2 linked regions of the Notamacropus eugenii genome follow. The protein of the gene in region 1 purifies or fractionates together with the protein of each later gene. This does not show direct contact. Links are inferred from orthologs where the notes say so. Each region holds a gene or a part of one and is shown in the gene's direction. Other genes may lie near its edges.

Region 1 (7,711 bases):
CCCACTTCTATCAAGAGGGAGAAAGAGCTGCTCATTGTCTTGTCTGGTATAGGTAGGCTACTGAAGCCTATACCTATCAGAAAACATTAAAAGGCAGAACCCCAAGGACATAAAGATCATCCTTTCCCCACCCTTGTAAGAAGCCTTTGGTTTAGCCCCTGTAACCAAGTCAGAAATTGGTCTAGGCCTATCAGCTTCCTGGAGCTATTCCCAGAGGTTAGCTATTGGCTGCCAGACAAATCCCACCCATCTCCCTTTTAATTGGCCACCAGTCAACATATAAAAGGGAGCCTGTTGCTGAGCAAAAAGAGAAAAAAAGCTGGCAAAAGGAATGGTTTAAGGTAGTATTCTTGATCAGTTCGGGTCCACCTGACACTGCCAAGGCCGAGAAGAAGGTGTGATGGACCTGTTTTGAAGACTTCTGGAGATGCTTGCAAAGGTATTGACCCTCCCTTAGGGTTTCCCCACTTTGAAAAGTTCCCTATTACTGGATTTAATTAGAAAGATAGTTGTTCACATCTCTGAGTCTCTGTTTTTCTTATCTGTCAAATGAGGGGTATGGACTAGATGACCCCAAGGGGGGATCAGAGCAGCACTAGTACAGTCATCTAGCATGAACAGGGAAAGCCAAGGAAATTCAGCAAAGTGCAGAGAGGGGAAGCAGCAGTATCTGAGGATGTTCAGGGAATGCTGTTGCCTTGGGAGGATCCAGCCTGGGAGAAGGGGATCCTGCTGGTGAGTAGGACTCCTCATGGGAATAACAAGAGGAGGGGGTATTGTCTTGGGAAGGAGAAAGAATGCAGGGAAGATTTTTTTTTTAAAAATTAAGGGAATGTGTGGGCATATCTTGGGAATTAGAAAATGTTGATGGGGAGGAACCCAAAGGGATAAAGGTTACTGACCTTGGGAAGAGATGTCAGGTTGTCAGGGCATTGTGTTACAATGGGGCACAACCCTGAATTAGGAGTCTAGATATTGCTTACCAATAATGCTTTGTATGACTTGGGAAAAGTCTGCCCCCATCCCAGCCCCTTCTCTGTTCCTCAGTTACTCTAGGAAGTTGCCTAAGATGACCATCTTGGTTGGCCATATTTTGCCCAGAAGCAGAGCCATCCTCAGAGCTAATGGTTGGACTTCACAGCTGGTCACCACTGACAGGTTGATCCAAATTCTGTGAATCAGGCTGTTTGGGAAGAGAGGCACTGTGGCCAGAATGCCTGCTCTCTGACCGGAGGAGCTGGGTTCAAATTCTGGTTGTACCATTTCTAGCTCTGTGATGTTGTGCACATTGCAACCCCTTTGAGGGCTCCACTTTCATGCCCTATACCTTGAGGGTGCACAAAAGAAACTCAAAGATACCTTCTTTCTCTGGTACTACTTTGAGCTGTAGCAGCGTGTGCCCAGCAGAGGGCACTGTCAGCTAATGCAGATTCAAACAGGTCTTTTCCCTTCCAATTGCTAGGGTCCGTTTTAGACTCATTGGAGTGGCTTCAGCCACTTCAAGCCTTTGCCATCTTACCGGCCTCACTGTGTGGAAGGAAATGCATCCCCTTAGCATAGACAGATGTGCACAGTTCTTGTGCTGGGGCTTGTTTTTAGATTTCTGGGTCTAGTATATTTCTCAAACTGGAGTCCCCCTGACTTGGGAATCATACCTCGGACCACTGACTTGAGAATTCCTGGAGAATGAGTGATTGAGACTGCTCTTTTATTGCTCGGAAAAGGGAGGGAGTGAAGGCTGAAAAGTCCGATGAACTGATTGCTTCAAACAGGCTTGAAGAGGCACACCTAGATTTCTTTATATGAGCTTTTTCAAATCAAAATGCCCATTAAATTCAAAGATTATTTATTGAGTTCCCATGCAGAGGGAGACACAGTAGTGACACAGCATGTAGTGAAATCAGAAAAAGCATTGGATTTGAGAAGCAGTCTACATTCTTATCCCAGCTCTAGTATTTCCTGTGTGACCTTGGGCCAACCACTTTATCTCTGAACCTTAGTATACTGACCTATAAAAGGGGTATAATAGTTGCACCACCAACCTAAGGCTTTTGTGTGAGCAAAAGAAAAAAAATGAGATTTTTGATTACAAAGTACATTAGTTATATATTAAGTGCTATATGAATGTTATTTGTTGCTGTTATATATTGGAGATCAATGAGACACGATCCCTGCCATGGAGTCTCAGGGGGAAAGATGTTGATACTAAGTGCAAATATAAGGCAGTAGGCAATAAGTACCATGGTAACAGTAGATGGTGCTGTGGGAGTAGGGAGGGGAGAGACAGAGACAGGGAGGCAGAGATAGAGAGAAAGAGAGATTACCTGCCTGGGGGTGAGGTGTCCTTGAAGCTGACCCTTAAAGGATAGTGAGATTTCAACAGACAGCTCTAGGGAATGGAGGAAGGGAATGGGGGGGAAGAGGGAGGAGAGGTTGCTAGCTGTTGTTGCAGGGAAATGGGAAAGTGTGTTTGGAAATGTCCACTAGTATAGTTTGGCTGGAGCACAGAGCTCAAAGGGAAGCTGTATATGCCTTGAAACACCAATATCATATATAAAGTTGTAGCAGAAATATCAATACATCTGTACTCAGAGAACCTGGGTTCAAATCCTAACTGCTGCTCTCATTGGGTGACTTAGACAAGTCACTTAATCTCCCTCATTCTCAGTTCCCTTATCTGAAAATGAAATTAAATGACTACCAAGGTCTCTTGGAGCTCTCAATTCGTTGTATAAGATTGGAAAAGGAGTTTGGAGCCATTTGTGGAGGGTATTAAATGGCAGGATTTGGAGATTAGATTTATCACTTTTAAACCATGGGGAACCATTGAAGACCTCCCAACATTTGAGTAGCAGGGTAAAACCTTGGCTTTAAGAAGATTCTTCTGGGGGGCAGCTAGGTGGCGCAGTGAATAGTGCACATCCTCAGGAATCAAGGTAACAGGAATTCAAATTTGGCCTCAGATGCTTACTAGCAGTGTGACACTGGGCAAGTCACTTAACCCCTACTGTCTCCCCCCTGCCCCCCCCCAAAAAAGAAAGAAAAGATTCTTCTGGCAGGTGTGGATCATGCGTTGAGAGAGTCAGGAGAAGAGTTAGGAGGAGTCTAGTATTATAATCCAACTGAGAGGTGATCACCATTACCTACATTAGGGGTGGGATTCTGGAAATAGGAAGGAAGAATGAACAAGGTTTGGTGACTGATAGGGTGTATGGAGAGAGAACAGTCAGAGCTCAGTCAGGTTAATGAATTTTGGGGGGCCATTAACAGAAATGAGTAAATCAAGGGAAAGTAACTGCCTTTAGGAAAATGAGTTCAGCTTTCAACTTTTTTAATTTCCAGGGATACATTTTCATGGATATGTCCAGCAAGTAGATGAAAAATTTGAACTGGAAGTGAAAGCAGATATCAGAGATTAAAAGACAAATTTGAGAGAAGTCCATAGCATGGAGGTGCTAGGAGCAGCTTGAGAAGTAAGGACCCCCAAACTGAAATGGGAGGTGTCAGTAACCTAGTTGCTTTCCCTACTCCCCCAATGTCATCCAAGTCCCTAAAGAGAGCATTCCTGCCTAGATGCCTTCTGCCTCCATCTGTGCTAAATTTAAAGGGCTAGCTGCCATTTCATATCTCAGCTGCTGGGCTGGGGTGGTGGGTTCCTGTGAGAGTTGGGGAAAATGTAACTCAGGAATAGTATTGCATCGTTGCCCTCCCCCATCTCTATCCTTCCTTTCCTAGAGAGAGAAGGTCATGGCCAGAAGTTTAGGAGAAATGCCCCCTTTTCTGGGTGAGGAGGAAATCAAAGAGGGGAATCTATATAAGGAGAGGAAAAAGGGTCATCAACTGGTAGATGGGAAAACCAAGATAGTTCCATGTCTTGAACAAGGGAGAAGAGTTTCAAACTTGGTGCCCTGGCACTTAGAGGAATGCAGCAAATATTTATTGATTGAGTGAGTGATTAAAGGAGCAACGGGTGATTAAATACCGTTAAATATAGTGTCAGATAGTGCAGACTGGTAAAGGAGAATAAAGGAGTGGGGAAAGACTGAAACTCCAGCAAGAGAGGCTGAAATTAGGCACCCGAATGAATTTCTTAAGGAAGTTATGAAATCCTTTCTGCAGAACTTCAGATACAGGCTGGATTCTCTTTTGTCTGGTATGTTTGAAGGTGCGGGGCTGCTTGAGGGCAAAGTGAATATTCTGAAAGACCTTTTAAAACTCCCTCGGGTTCAGACCTATAATTAGCTCCAGCAATGCTCATTATAAACAGTCACCTCGAAAAGCCATCCAGGGACCCTAAATAACCTCACCAGAAATTTAAAATCTGTAGCATGAAATGGTTTGAAATTATAAACCCAGATGCCCTGCCCAGTCCCTAAAAAGTTGCAATTCATCATGCAATCATAATGACTATCTGGGACTGTCACTCTCGGTCTCTCGTTTCTCATTTACTTGTTTATGAGTAACCCTCTTGCAAAAGTTTGCAACATCCTCCAGGGTAAAACTACAACTCCCAGCTCCCCCAGCGCTTCCCCGAGCCCATTGGAAGATAGTCGAGAGAAGCTGTTGGAGGAGGAAAGGCGTCTCCGCCTCCTGCCGGACCAATGAGTAGGTGATTGGCCGAAGCCTGAGGCTTGTGTCCCCTCCCTCTCACTCCCCACCCCTCCGACCTGCGTCTGGGTAGGTCTCAGTTGCCGAGGTCGGATCCAGAGAAGCTAAAGGCAGTCGGGCTCGGGGATGTCTGTGAGCTGTGGTAGCCGAGACGTTCTTCACTCTAGAATTCTAAGACCCCCCGGGGCCACGGTAGAAGCTGGGGCGCCCCTCGGGTAGCCACGGACCGTTCCGGTGCAGGACCGTGGGTCTGCGGACAGGTGCAGAGCCCCACCTCGCCGGGAGCGCCTGCCACCCCGGGACCCGCTCGCGCGCTGTACCCCCGCGGCCGTGCCCGCGGGCCCCGCAAGGAAGGTGCGCGCTGGCTGGCACCATGATCGTGGCGGACGCGGAGAACTGCGCCGGAATCCAGGGCTACATCCCCTACACCCAGTGCGGCGGCGCAGGGACCGCGGAGGTGAGTGGCGCGGACCCCTCCCCAGCCGCGAGTCCAGCCCTTCTGGCCACGGGACAGGCTCGACGGCCGGCTCAGCCCTGGGATGGGGATCGGGGGCTGGGAATTGGGGGCAGACTGTAACCTGGCGCCGGGATTGCATCAACTGGCCGCCGCTGCCCCCCTCCTCTTCCTCCGACTTCGTTCCCGGGGGAAGAGCTCTGGACAGCTACTTAGGACGGAGTGGGGGTTGGGGGAGGAGGGGCTTCCCGAGTGGGCCCGGCTTGCCCAGTAGGCGCCGTCTTCCAGCCTGGGCATGCCTGGGCCCGTCGGAGTAGACCTTGTCCGCTTCCTTCCCGATTTTCCACTGGGGAACCCCAGGGGGTCTTGGAACCGTGCCTTCAGGGAGGTGGCGGCAGAATCCTTCGCTCTCTGGGCGGCGGCGGAGGAAACTTTCGGGGCGCTTGGCAATGCTCCCAGGTCCTGTCGCTCTGCACGACCCCGGGAGGGAAGACCTCGGACCCGGTGGGGTCGGGGGGGGGGGGATGAGCGGAAAGGAGTGAATGGGAACCCCGACCACCCGGAGAGCGAGATGCTGCCTGGACAGGGGTGGACACGCGGTTTCAGGGTCTTGATGGAGACCTAGGTCCCTACGGGCAAGAGGGGGCTGAGGAAGAGAACCTTGCAGCCCCAAACTAGTGGTCGTTCGATAAGCCCAGCCACCTGTTAGCTGGGGGATTCAGGGACCTTCTGTGACTTGGAACTAAACGCTCCTCCGACCTACCTTACTCGTCTCGTTGTCATGTGGAAAGAGCTTTGTGAGCGGGAAAACGTTGTTGAAGTGTGAGCTTCACGGGCATCCCCTCCTCCGGGAAGCCGTCCCTGACTAACCTCACCTGATTCAGATCACACCATCTCCTGACCGAATCTCCTTCCAGGACTTGGAATGTTGTTTGCATTTCGGAAAATTTGCCCAGAAACTTGGCCCGAAGTTTCAGTTCTGACTGTCTGACGGCCTGTGGGGATGGGGGAAAGATGCCCCAGATCCGTTAAGCTGGGCATTCCTCAGGTAGGGCCCGACTTCTTTATATCCAGACCAGAACTGCCTGCAGGGTCCTGGAAGGGGCCTCCGGGTTAAGCTCCTGGGTTTTACCGAGGGAAAAACTGAAGCTGTAGGAGATTAAGGGACTTCATAAGGTCGCATAGTAATAGTGGAGACTAGCTTTGAACCCCGGACCTCAGAGACCTTCCTGTTTTCCCCTGTACCATCTTAACTTCCCTAATAAGGGAGGACCCAGAATGACCTCACCGACCTCCTAGGGCTAATGTAATAGAGACTGCCCTTCCGGAGGTGAAAAAAAGAAAGCTTCAGCCTTCTCTCCCTTCCAGATAGCACTCCCCCCCCCCCCCCCCCACACACACACACACTTCCAGGTGTGTCTGGTGGTGGAAGGAGAGGGCTCTGCCGGGGAAGGAGGAAGGCCGAGCTCTCGGAGGCCATGCCCCCTCACCTGATGGAATTACTCCCCAGTGGAAAACTTTGGAATCTCGGGGTCAGCGGCGGAAGATGTCTGTGGTGACCGAGAAGTTAATGAATATTCCTACTGTCTTGAGAAAGCTGAAAGGACCGGGAAGTCCGCTCTCCTTTGGAGATCAGACTTTTTCAAGAGAGCAGCAGCTCTGGAGTCCTTCCAAAGCAACGCTCCTAGAGACCCCGAGCCCCAAATCCCCCAGCCAGTCATTTCGGGGCTTCAACCACAGAATGGATCGCTGATGCCACACCTATTATGTGCAGGGCTAAAGGACAGGGACAGACACATGATTTAGATCGCAGGTGTCAAACGTTCATGTGCAACGCTCCCCAGTGCATCTCAAACCAGATTAAAATGTAATTGGGAAATATTTAAAAAACGAATCAAAACATAAGTAATATTACGTTTAAAGCTGAGTCAGTATGTGGCCTGCAGGCGTCTTTATGTACCAATTAGTGGGCTGGGTTTCTATTTGAGGTCTACACCACTGATTTAAATAATCAAATCACCACCCTCTAGGAACTCAACGAAGCCTGTACAGGGAGACGTAATGGAGACATACTTAACTAACTCTTACAAAAGAGTGTGAACAAAGGATTAATTTGGGCTTGGAGGAGGAAAGAGCATTTTTGATTAGAGGAATCAAAGAAGACCCTAGGGAGGCAGTAGGTAGCATCGAAGGTGGAGATAGAGGTGAGGTCAGGGTATTCCAGATACTGGGACTGGGGGCCCAAAACCATATAATCGGTAGGCTAATTTGGTTGGAATACATGATTAAGAAACAGAACTAAGAGTAGAAAGGTAGGTTGGCACTGAACAATAGCAAGGCTGGAATGTCGGGTCAAGCCTTTGGAACATTACTTCATAGACCATAGGAAACCATTAAGGGTTTTAACCCAGGTAAGCCAGAGGCCTCTGACCCTTTGGGTACCGGCTAACAGAGTGTGCAGACTCCTTCACTACTAAGTGCTGACTAAGTAGTATTTATAACCATTAGAGAGAAATGAACCTCCATGCTGGCTAGAGGGGCAGAGAGGAAGAAGTCTCTGACTTATACTTTGCAAATCACTTGACCTCTCAGTTCCCCAGGTAACTCTAAAAGTAGAAGCTAGTCAGTCCACAAGCATTATCTCTTAAA
Region 2 (7,202 bases), on another chromosome or scaffold:
CTACCACTCGTGCTCTGTTCACTGTCACTCAGCTCACTACAAATCATCATTAATAATAAACTATTATTGATTGCTAGCGTTTATCCAGCACGTTAGGGTTTGCAGAGAGCTTTGTGTGTGTTATCTCACCTGACGATCTCTACAACAACTCTGCTCTGAGGCAGGTACCACATCATTCCCATTTTACAAATGAGGAAACTGAGGCTGAGAGAGGTTAGCATAGTGGACAGAGTGCCTGACTGCAAATCAGGTCTTAGACATTTGCTGGCTATGTGACCCTGGGTAAAGCACTTAATCTCTGACTTGCCTCAGTTTCTTTTTCAGCAGAACAGGGATAATAGCAGCACCCACCTCACAGGGCTGTCATGAAGATCAAATTAGATAACATTTGCAATGCACTTTGCAAACCTTCATGTGCTCTACAAATGCTATTATCACTATATGTACATATGGGTATATATCTAAATGTACGTACATATATATGTACATACACACATGCACAAAAATATACATATATGAGTGTTTTCCTCACCCCTAACCACCCTCTCTCACCTCCCACCAAATCTAAGCCAGAACCCAATGGTAAAGAGCAGCTCTCGCCCCTATAGTGAAAGAAACCACTGTGGTTCATTGGGAAGAGACAGAGTCAAATCTGAAGGATATGTTTCATTCATTTCTCTTATGGCTTGTGTGACCCTGGGTGATAGTAGCAGCAGCAGCAGAAGTAGTAATAGTAATGTCACTTAGTAGGCAAGTCACTAAACATACATGGGTTTTGGTTTCCTTGTTTGTAAAAGAGGTTGGCTTAGATGACCTCTGAGGTTTGTTCCAGTTCTGACTCCATGACCCTAGCTTGGTATCTGTTAGTAAGTCAGGATGGAGGTTACAACCTTTCACCCAGAGGGCTAGACTCCACTGACCTCTAAGATCCCTTCCAGCTCTAAATTCCAACTTATAAGCCTTAAAGCTGAGCAGGGGGTTGGCAAGTGATGCATCTGGCTTCTGGCCCTGGCTGGAGAACTCTGACAAGGCTGGGAACTCACTGAGTCATCGTTACCCACACTCCCAAGGGCCAAGGAGCAGAAACCTTCCTACCTCCCTTAGAAAGTACTGGATGGGGTTGAGCCAAGCCTGGTTGGGCAATACTCAAGAGGAAGGGGTGTGGCCAAAGTAATTAAATGAGTGAGAGTAGGGATACCCCCCCAAGTTTCTGGTGTTCTCTAGAAAGTTCTGTGTCCCACCCCCAACCAGAATTCCTTTCTACTAACCCTGGGTTCTCTGGCCCTGCTGCCTCATTTCTAAGTAGCTAGCTGACCTTAGGGATCCTGGACTCCTTGTTACCTTTTATAGACTCCCCACCATATCCTTCCTGTTCCCTTTCTTCTGAGTCTCACTTTTCTCATCAGTAGAGAAAATGGTACCTGAAGTGCCTACCTGATGGAGTTATTAGGAGGATCAAGGAAGATGATGTGTGGCAATCCCTGTAGCAATTAATCAATCAACAAGCATTTATTAAGCCTCCATTAGGTGCCAGGCCCTGGGCTACGTGCTGAGGCTAAGACAAAAAGTGACATCCCTACGGCCAAGAAGGAAGGCAAGCACAGAGTCAAGCACACACAAAGTATATGTGAAGTCATTTCAGGGGGAGGCACTTGCTTCTTCCAAGAAGTGCTGGCTGGCATTTAAGCTGAGCTTCTAAGGAAACTAGAAGCTCCAAGAGGTAGAAAGGAGGAGGGAGTGCACTCAAGATGTGGGATACAGCCTGGGCAAAACTGAGGAGATGCGAAATGGCTTGAAGGCCAGTTTGATTGGATCGTGAGAAAGGGAGTTAATGTTCAGTGAATGAGGAAAGATAGGGCCAGGTTGTGAAGGGTTTTAAGATCTAAACTGAGGAGTTTATACTTTAAGTTACAGGTAATAGGAAGTTAAGAGAGTAGGAGAGTGACACAGTATTAACTTGCCTAAAATTCCCCATTAGATAAGCTTCCTGAGGGGAGGCCTAGAAAAAAGGAAGGAGAACCTGCTGTAGATAGTCAACAAATAGGGAAGGGAATAAGAATTTATATATGGCCTACTATGTGTCAGGCACGGTGTTAAATGCTTTACAAATGTAAACTCATTTGATCCTCACAGTAATCCTGGAAAGTAGGGGCGGTCATTATTTGAAACAGAGGGTAAGTGACTTGTGCAGTAAGGTGACACAGTGTCAGAGGTCAGAGCTGACTCAGGAATTCCTGACTACAGGCCCTAAGCTCTATCCATTTCACCCTCTACCTGAGAAAATCCTACCCAAGAGAACTCCCAGGGACAAAGAATCATAGAAATGAACCTGTGACTCAATTCTCCTTTGGACTGGAGTGAAACAAGCCTGATCTCACAGACAGTGCTAGTCAAACCCCTTTCCTCTTGGCCCAGTGAAACTCCCCAGATTCCCCTGATAACATGTGTTGTTCCCTAAAGCCAGACACTTATTATCATCATTCCCAATCAACCAATCGAAAGGCATTTATGAAAGGCTTATCATTGGCCTGTGGCTGTGCTATACCTTAGGGAATCAAAGACAAAAGGGAAATAGTCTGTGCCCTCAAGAAACTTACTCTTCGGGGGTGGGGTTGGTTGAGTAGTATGTACATACAAAAATATAAGCAAAATAGATAGAATTTAAGTTTTGAGAGGAAGGCACAAGAAACTGGAGGAGTTGGGAGAGGTTTCCTGTATCTCTTTTATGCTGTATCTCTTGATTTAAGTTTTGAAGGAGACCAAGAATTGTGGAGGGCAGCCAGGTGGCACAGTAGATAGAGAACTAGCCTGGAATGAGAAAGACCTGAGTTCAAATCTAACTTCAGACACTATCTGTGTGACCCTGGGCAAGTCACTTCACCCTCTTTACCTCAGTTTCCTCATCTGTAAAATGAGCTGGAGAGGGAAATAACAAACCACTCCAGTATCTTTGTCAAAAATACCCCCAAAGGGTCACAAAGAGTCAGAAACAACAGTAAGTTAGAATGGAAGAGTTGAATTATCTCCTGGGCCTTCTACTGGAGAAAGATGGAAAGAGCTCAGCACCACAGGCCTCAGGGGACAAGGGCACGGCATAGGGCACAGACCCTAGGGGATTTTGAGGGGACAAGTAGTTCAAGCAATAAGCATTTTTTAAGCATCTACTATGTGTTAGGCATAGTTTAATCTATATTATATTGTATCAACATTTATAACGCGTACTTTATATTTTAATCTCTACGCGGTCAGTCAAGTGGCTCTTGGAGCTGGAGGAAGATGGAAAATTCCAGATTTAACAATGAGGGGCAAACCAAGCCTCCCCAGCCCCATGGGCCAAGTTAGGCAAGTTAGACAAGTTAGCCTCGGAGCCCTGGCCATCAGAGAAGGTCACCGAGCTAAGTTCTCCTTGGCTAACGGTCCGTGAACACTGGCAAGGAGCGCTGCGGACCCCCTCTGCGGGCAGCAGGCCCACTTTGGGGCACGGGGTAAGAGAAAGCTCCCGGAGCCCGGAGGCCCCGAAGTGGCCAGGCGAGCTGCTGAGTCATGCTCAGTCAGGTCAGTGTGCAGTCCGGGGAAGTCCCTCACCCGTGGGGCTGTGAATCCGGAGGGAAGCGGCCTGGTGCCCAACTCTTCCTGCCCTATGCGGCCCTCGCCAGCGTGCTGGGGCACCGGGGGCACGGAGACCTCCCCCTCCCCACAGCTCAGGGCCCTAAGGAAGAGCCAGGGCTCCCATACTTCTGAAAGTTGAAGGGGCCCTTCCGCAGGTCCGCGGACCTCCCTCCTACAGCAGACACCCCCGCCCCGACGCTGAGACCTCCCCTAGAACACGGCGCCCCTCCCTGCCCCCTCCACCTTCCACTCCCCCCAACGGCGCATAAAACCCTCACCCCCCAAAAAGCCTCCCGCTCCTTTCCAGGGGCAAAATGACGGTCCCTTCAGCCTCCTCCGGCTACAGGGACACCCCCTCCCACACGCACGTGGGAAGCCTCTGGGATACTTTTCTAGACAGCTGCATCCCCTGGCACGTGGGAACTGCTCCCCGCCCCCACTCTGATGCCTCCCAGGGTCGCAGAGCCCCCAGCTCCGCCACTACGGACCGAACGGCAGACCCCTCCCCCCACTTGTTTATTTCGGCAGCGCACGAGGGATCCGCTTCGGGGCGTGAGCTAGCACCGAGGGACACGTGAGGGGAGGGGGGCGGGCGGGGTCCGGGGGGGGGGCGCGTAGCTCCCGGCCCCGCCCCAGCCGGGCGGAGACTCGGGCGTCGTGTATAAGACCTGAGCGGGGCGGGCTCGCCGGAGACGCCGTCCCAACGTCTGCGGGTCGCAGGTCGCCTTCGTCCGTGTTTTCAGCTGCCGAGACCGGCCTCTCCGCCTGCACAGTGCCGCCGACGCCGAGATGGAGCGGCTGACCGTGAAGGCCTACCTGATGGGCAAGGAGGAGGCGGCCCGGGAGATCCGCCGCTTCACCGTGGAGCCGCTCGACGGCCCGGGCCGCTGCGAGAAGCTGCTCCGCCGCGTGGCCGAGGTGTTCCCGGCGCTGCGGCCCGGCGGCTTCCAGGTGTACTACCGAGGTGAGGCCGCGGGGCCGGGCCGGGCAGGCGGGGGCCTGGCCGGGAGCGGGGCTCCGAGCCCGCAGCCGGCTCTGGCCCGCCCTGACCCTGCCGCTTGTTTATCTGGCGTCGGGCCGAGCCGGGCTTACGTAACCGGACCCCGTGTGCCGTGACGCGGGCCAAACCGCCGAGGCTGGGCGGGAGCCGAACCGACCCCCGCCGAGGTCTCCGTGTCCCCCGGGAGCTAGGCTAGGATTGGCCCGCCTGCAGCCACCCGCGTTTATTAAACGCTGCTGTGTGCGAGGCGCTGGAGACAGAAAAATGGTGGCGCTCCTACCCCCGAGGAGTTCACTTGGTTTTGGGGGTGTGGGGGTGTGTACACACACTCGTGGATGCGTAATACGTGTGTACGTATATCGGCGGCTGTACGCGTATCTAGCAGCCTGTTGCACGAGCAAGTCTGTTTATACAAACATGCGAATAAGTAAGCCAAGGTTCAGAGTTTTGAGGAGGAGGATCCGGAAGGAGCTTGGGGGCGGTTAGGGTGTGCCTGGCTTGGAGGTGTGTGTCTCGGTGCCCGCGTGTGCCCTGGCAGGAGTGGCATCAAACTTGTCCCAGCCGTGCGGCGCCGGGCGGGTCGCTTCATCGCCTCCTGCCTTAGCGTCCCCGTCGGTAAAATGGGCATTAGAAGTAAGGCCAAGCTGCCAGCGCTGTTGTGCGTGAGTGTTCCATGGAAGCGTTACTACTGGCGCTGCTACGGCTCCAGCCTTGCTTTGGGCCTGGCCGCCCGCCAGCCTCCTGGTCCTGTTGTGACTGCCCGAGCTGGACCTGGACGGAGCCCACGGTGGCGGCCCTCCCGCCCCCAGAGTAGTCCTTGGCTTTTCTACTCCCCCCAGGGCAGAAGTTTCCAGAATCTGTGACCATTTTCTGTCTCACCGTCTCCAAACTAATTAGTAAAATAACGTGTGATGAATCCCACAAACGAGCTAAACTTTTTTTCCAGAAATGTTTGTATAGTCAAAGAGTGGGGGGGAAATCCCACTTAGAGACCACCCTTGGAGATTGGATTGGTTTAAATCGATGTATCCTTAGGCAACACAAGATCCGTGCACACCAAAAGAGGCAGCAGACAGTCTAATGGAGGAGACCACATGCTAATAAATACGTAGAAAGAGAGCTACATTCAGAATAAAGAGGGAAGGCACTAGAATTTAAAGGGTTTGGGGAAGGCTTCCTGTAGGAAACCAGGGAGGTCAGTCAACACCAAAGGGAAAACTTTCTAGGCTCAGGACACCCAGAGAAAATGCCCAGAGCTGAGGGTTGGAGTTCGTGAAACAGCCAGGAGGCTGGTGTCGCTGGATAAGAAAGAGTACCTGTAGGGGCGAGTAAGGTGTAAGAAGATTGAAAAGGTTGTGAAGGGCTTTCCAAGGCCAAGCAGAGCTTTTTGTATTTGATCCTAGAGACAATAGGGAGGCCCTGGAGTTTATTGAGTAGGGGAAGGTGGGTTGACCCCATCGGACTTGAACATAGGAAAATCACTTTTAGTGGCTTGGAGGATAGATTGGAAGAAGGAGAGATGAGAAGCCTGCAGACACCCCATCCCCACAGCAGGATGTTGTAATCAAAGCCTGAGGTGATGAGGGCCTGGACCCAGGGGGTTGGCAGTGTCTGGAAGGATTTTGCAAAGGTGAAATCAATAGGCCTTGGCAGGGCTCGAATATGAGAGATGGGTGAGGAGTTCACCGTTCCTAGGTCAAGAACCTGAGAGACTGGTAAGATGATGTGGCTCCTGAGGGTAAAGGGAAAGGTTGGAGGGGCAGGATTTAGGGGGAAAGATTGATTTCAGCTTTGGACTTAGTTTAACTAAGTTAAAAATGTCTACTAGACATCCAGTTCTGGGTGTCTGAAAAGTTAGTTGGAGATGAGAAAATGGAGGTTAGGAGAGGGAGATTTAAGAATCATTGGCATAAAGATGATAATTAGATCCATGGCAAGTGAGAGAGAAGAGGGCCCAGGTATAGGAACTAGAGGGACACCCATGATTAAAGGGTGGCATCATTAGGAGGATCCAGGAAGGGACACAGAAGGAACAATCTGAGAGGTGGGAGGAGAACCAGGAGAGTGTGGTGTCCTGAAAACCTAGAAGAGGGTGTCAAGGGGGGGAGATTGACACAACTATGTTAGAGGTCAAGGGGAACGAGGGTGGAGAAAAAGACAACCAAGAGACTATTAGTAACTTTGGAGAGAGAAGGTTTTGGTGGAATGATGAAGTTGGAAGTCAGATTGCGAGGGGTTGAGGAGAGGAAGTGGAGACACTGATAAAGAGAAATGAGATTATAAAGTGAGGCAGAGGTCTCACTTTCGAATTTTTTTGGGGGGGGGGGGAGTTTTCCTGGAAAAAATGACTTCAGAGATCCAGGTATACTAACTTTGTAGTCTTTGATTCCCTTAGGCAGCTAGCACATACAGTGCCAGGCTTGGAGTCAGGAAGATCTGATTGGATTCAGATTTCATCCTGGAGGCAATTGGCAGCCACTGGAGTTTGTTGTTGGGGGAAGTGGGTTGACGCCAGCTGTGTGACAAGTCTAGGCAAGTTGTTTAACCTGCCTGCCTCGGTTTCTTCATCTCTAAAATGGGAATGATCATCTTC

The links.
Region 2: the proteins of SESN2 (region 1) and SQSTM1 purify together in Homo sapiens (affinity purification with western blotting; 3 studies listed by BioGRID and IntAct, with this or other methods). This does not show direct contact. The link is inferred for Notamacropus eugenii from reciprocal best matches to the Homo sapiens genes SESN2 and SQSTM1.

The regions. Positions count from the first base shown.
Region 1 is NC_092876.1:69,378,804-69,386,514, forward strand, and holds the start of SESN2 (sestrin-2), read left to right. Parts: upstream 1-4,683; 5' UTR 4,684-4,981; coding exon 4,982-5,065; intron 5,066-6,031; exon of another isoform or gene 6,032-6,065; coding exon of another isoform or gene 6,066-6,110; intron 6,111-7,711. UniProt on the Homo sapiens protein: Functions as an intracellular leucine sensor that negatively regulates the mTORC1 signaling pathway through the GATOR complex. In absence of leucine, binds the GATOR subcomplex GATOR2 and prevents mTORC1 signaling.
Region 2 is NC_092872.1:416,510,057-416,517,258, reverse strand, and holds the start of SQSTM1 (sequestosome-1), read left to right. Parts: upstream 1-4,186; 5' UTR 4,187-4,398; coding exon 4,399-4,573; intron 4,574-7,202. UniProt on the Homo sapiens protein: Molecular adapter required for selective macroautophagy (aggrephagy) by acting as a bridge between polyubiquitinated proteins and autophagosomes.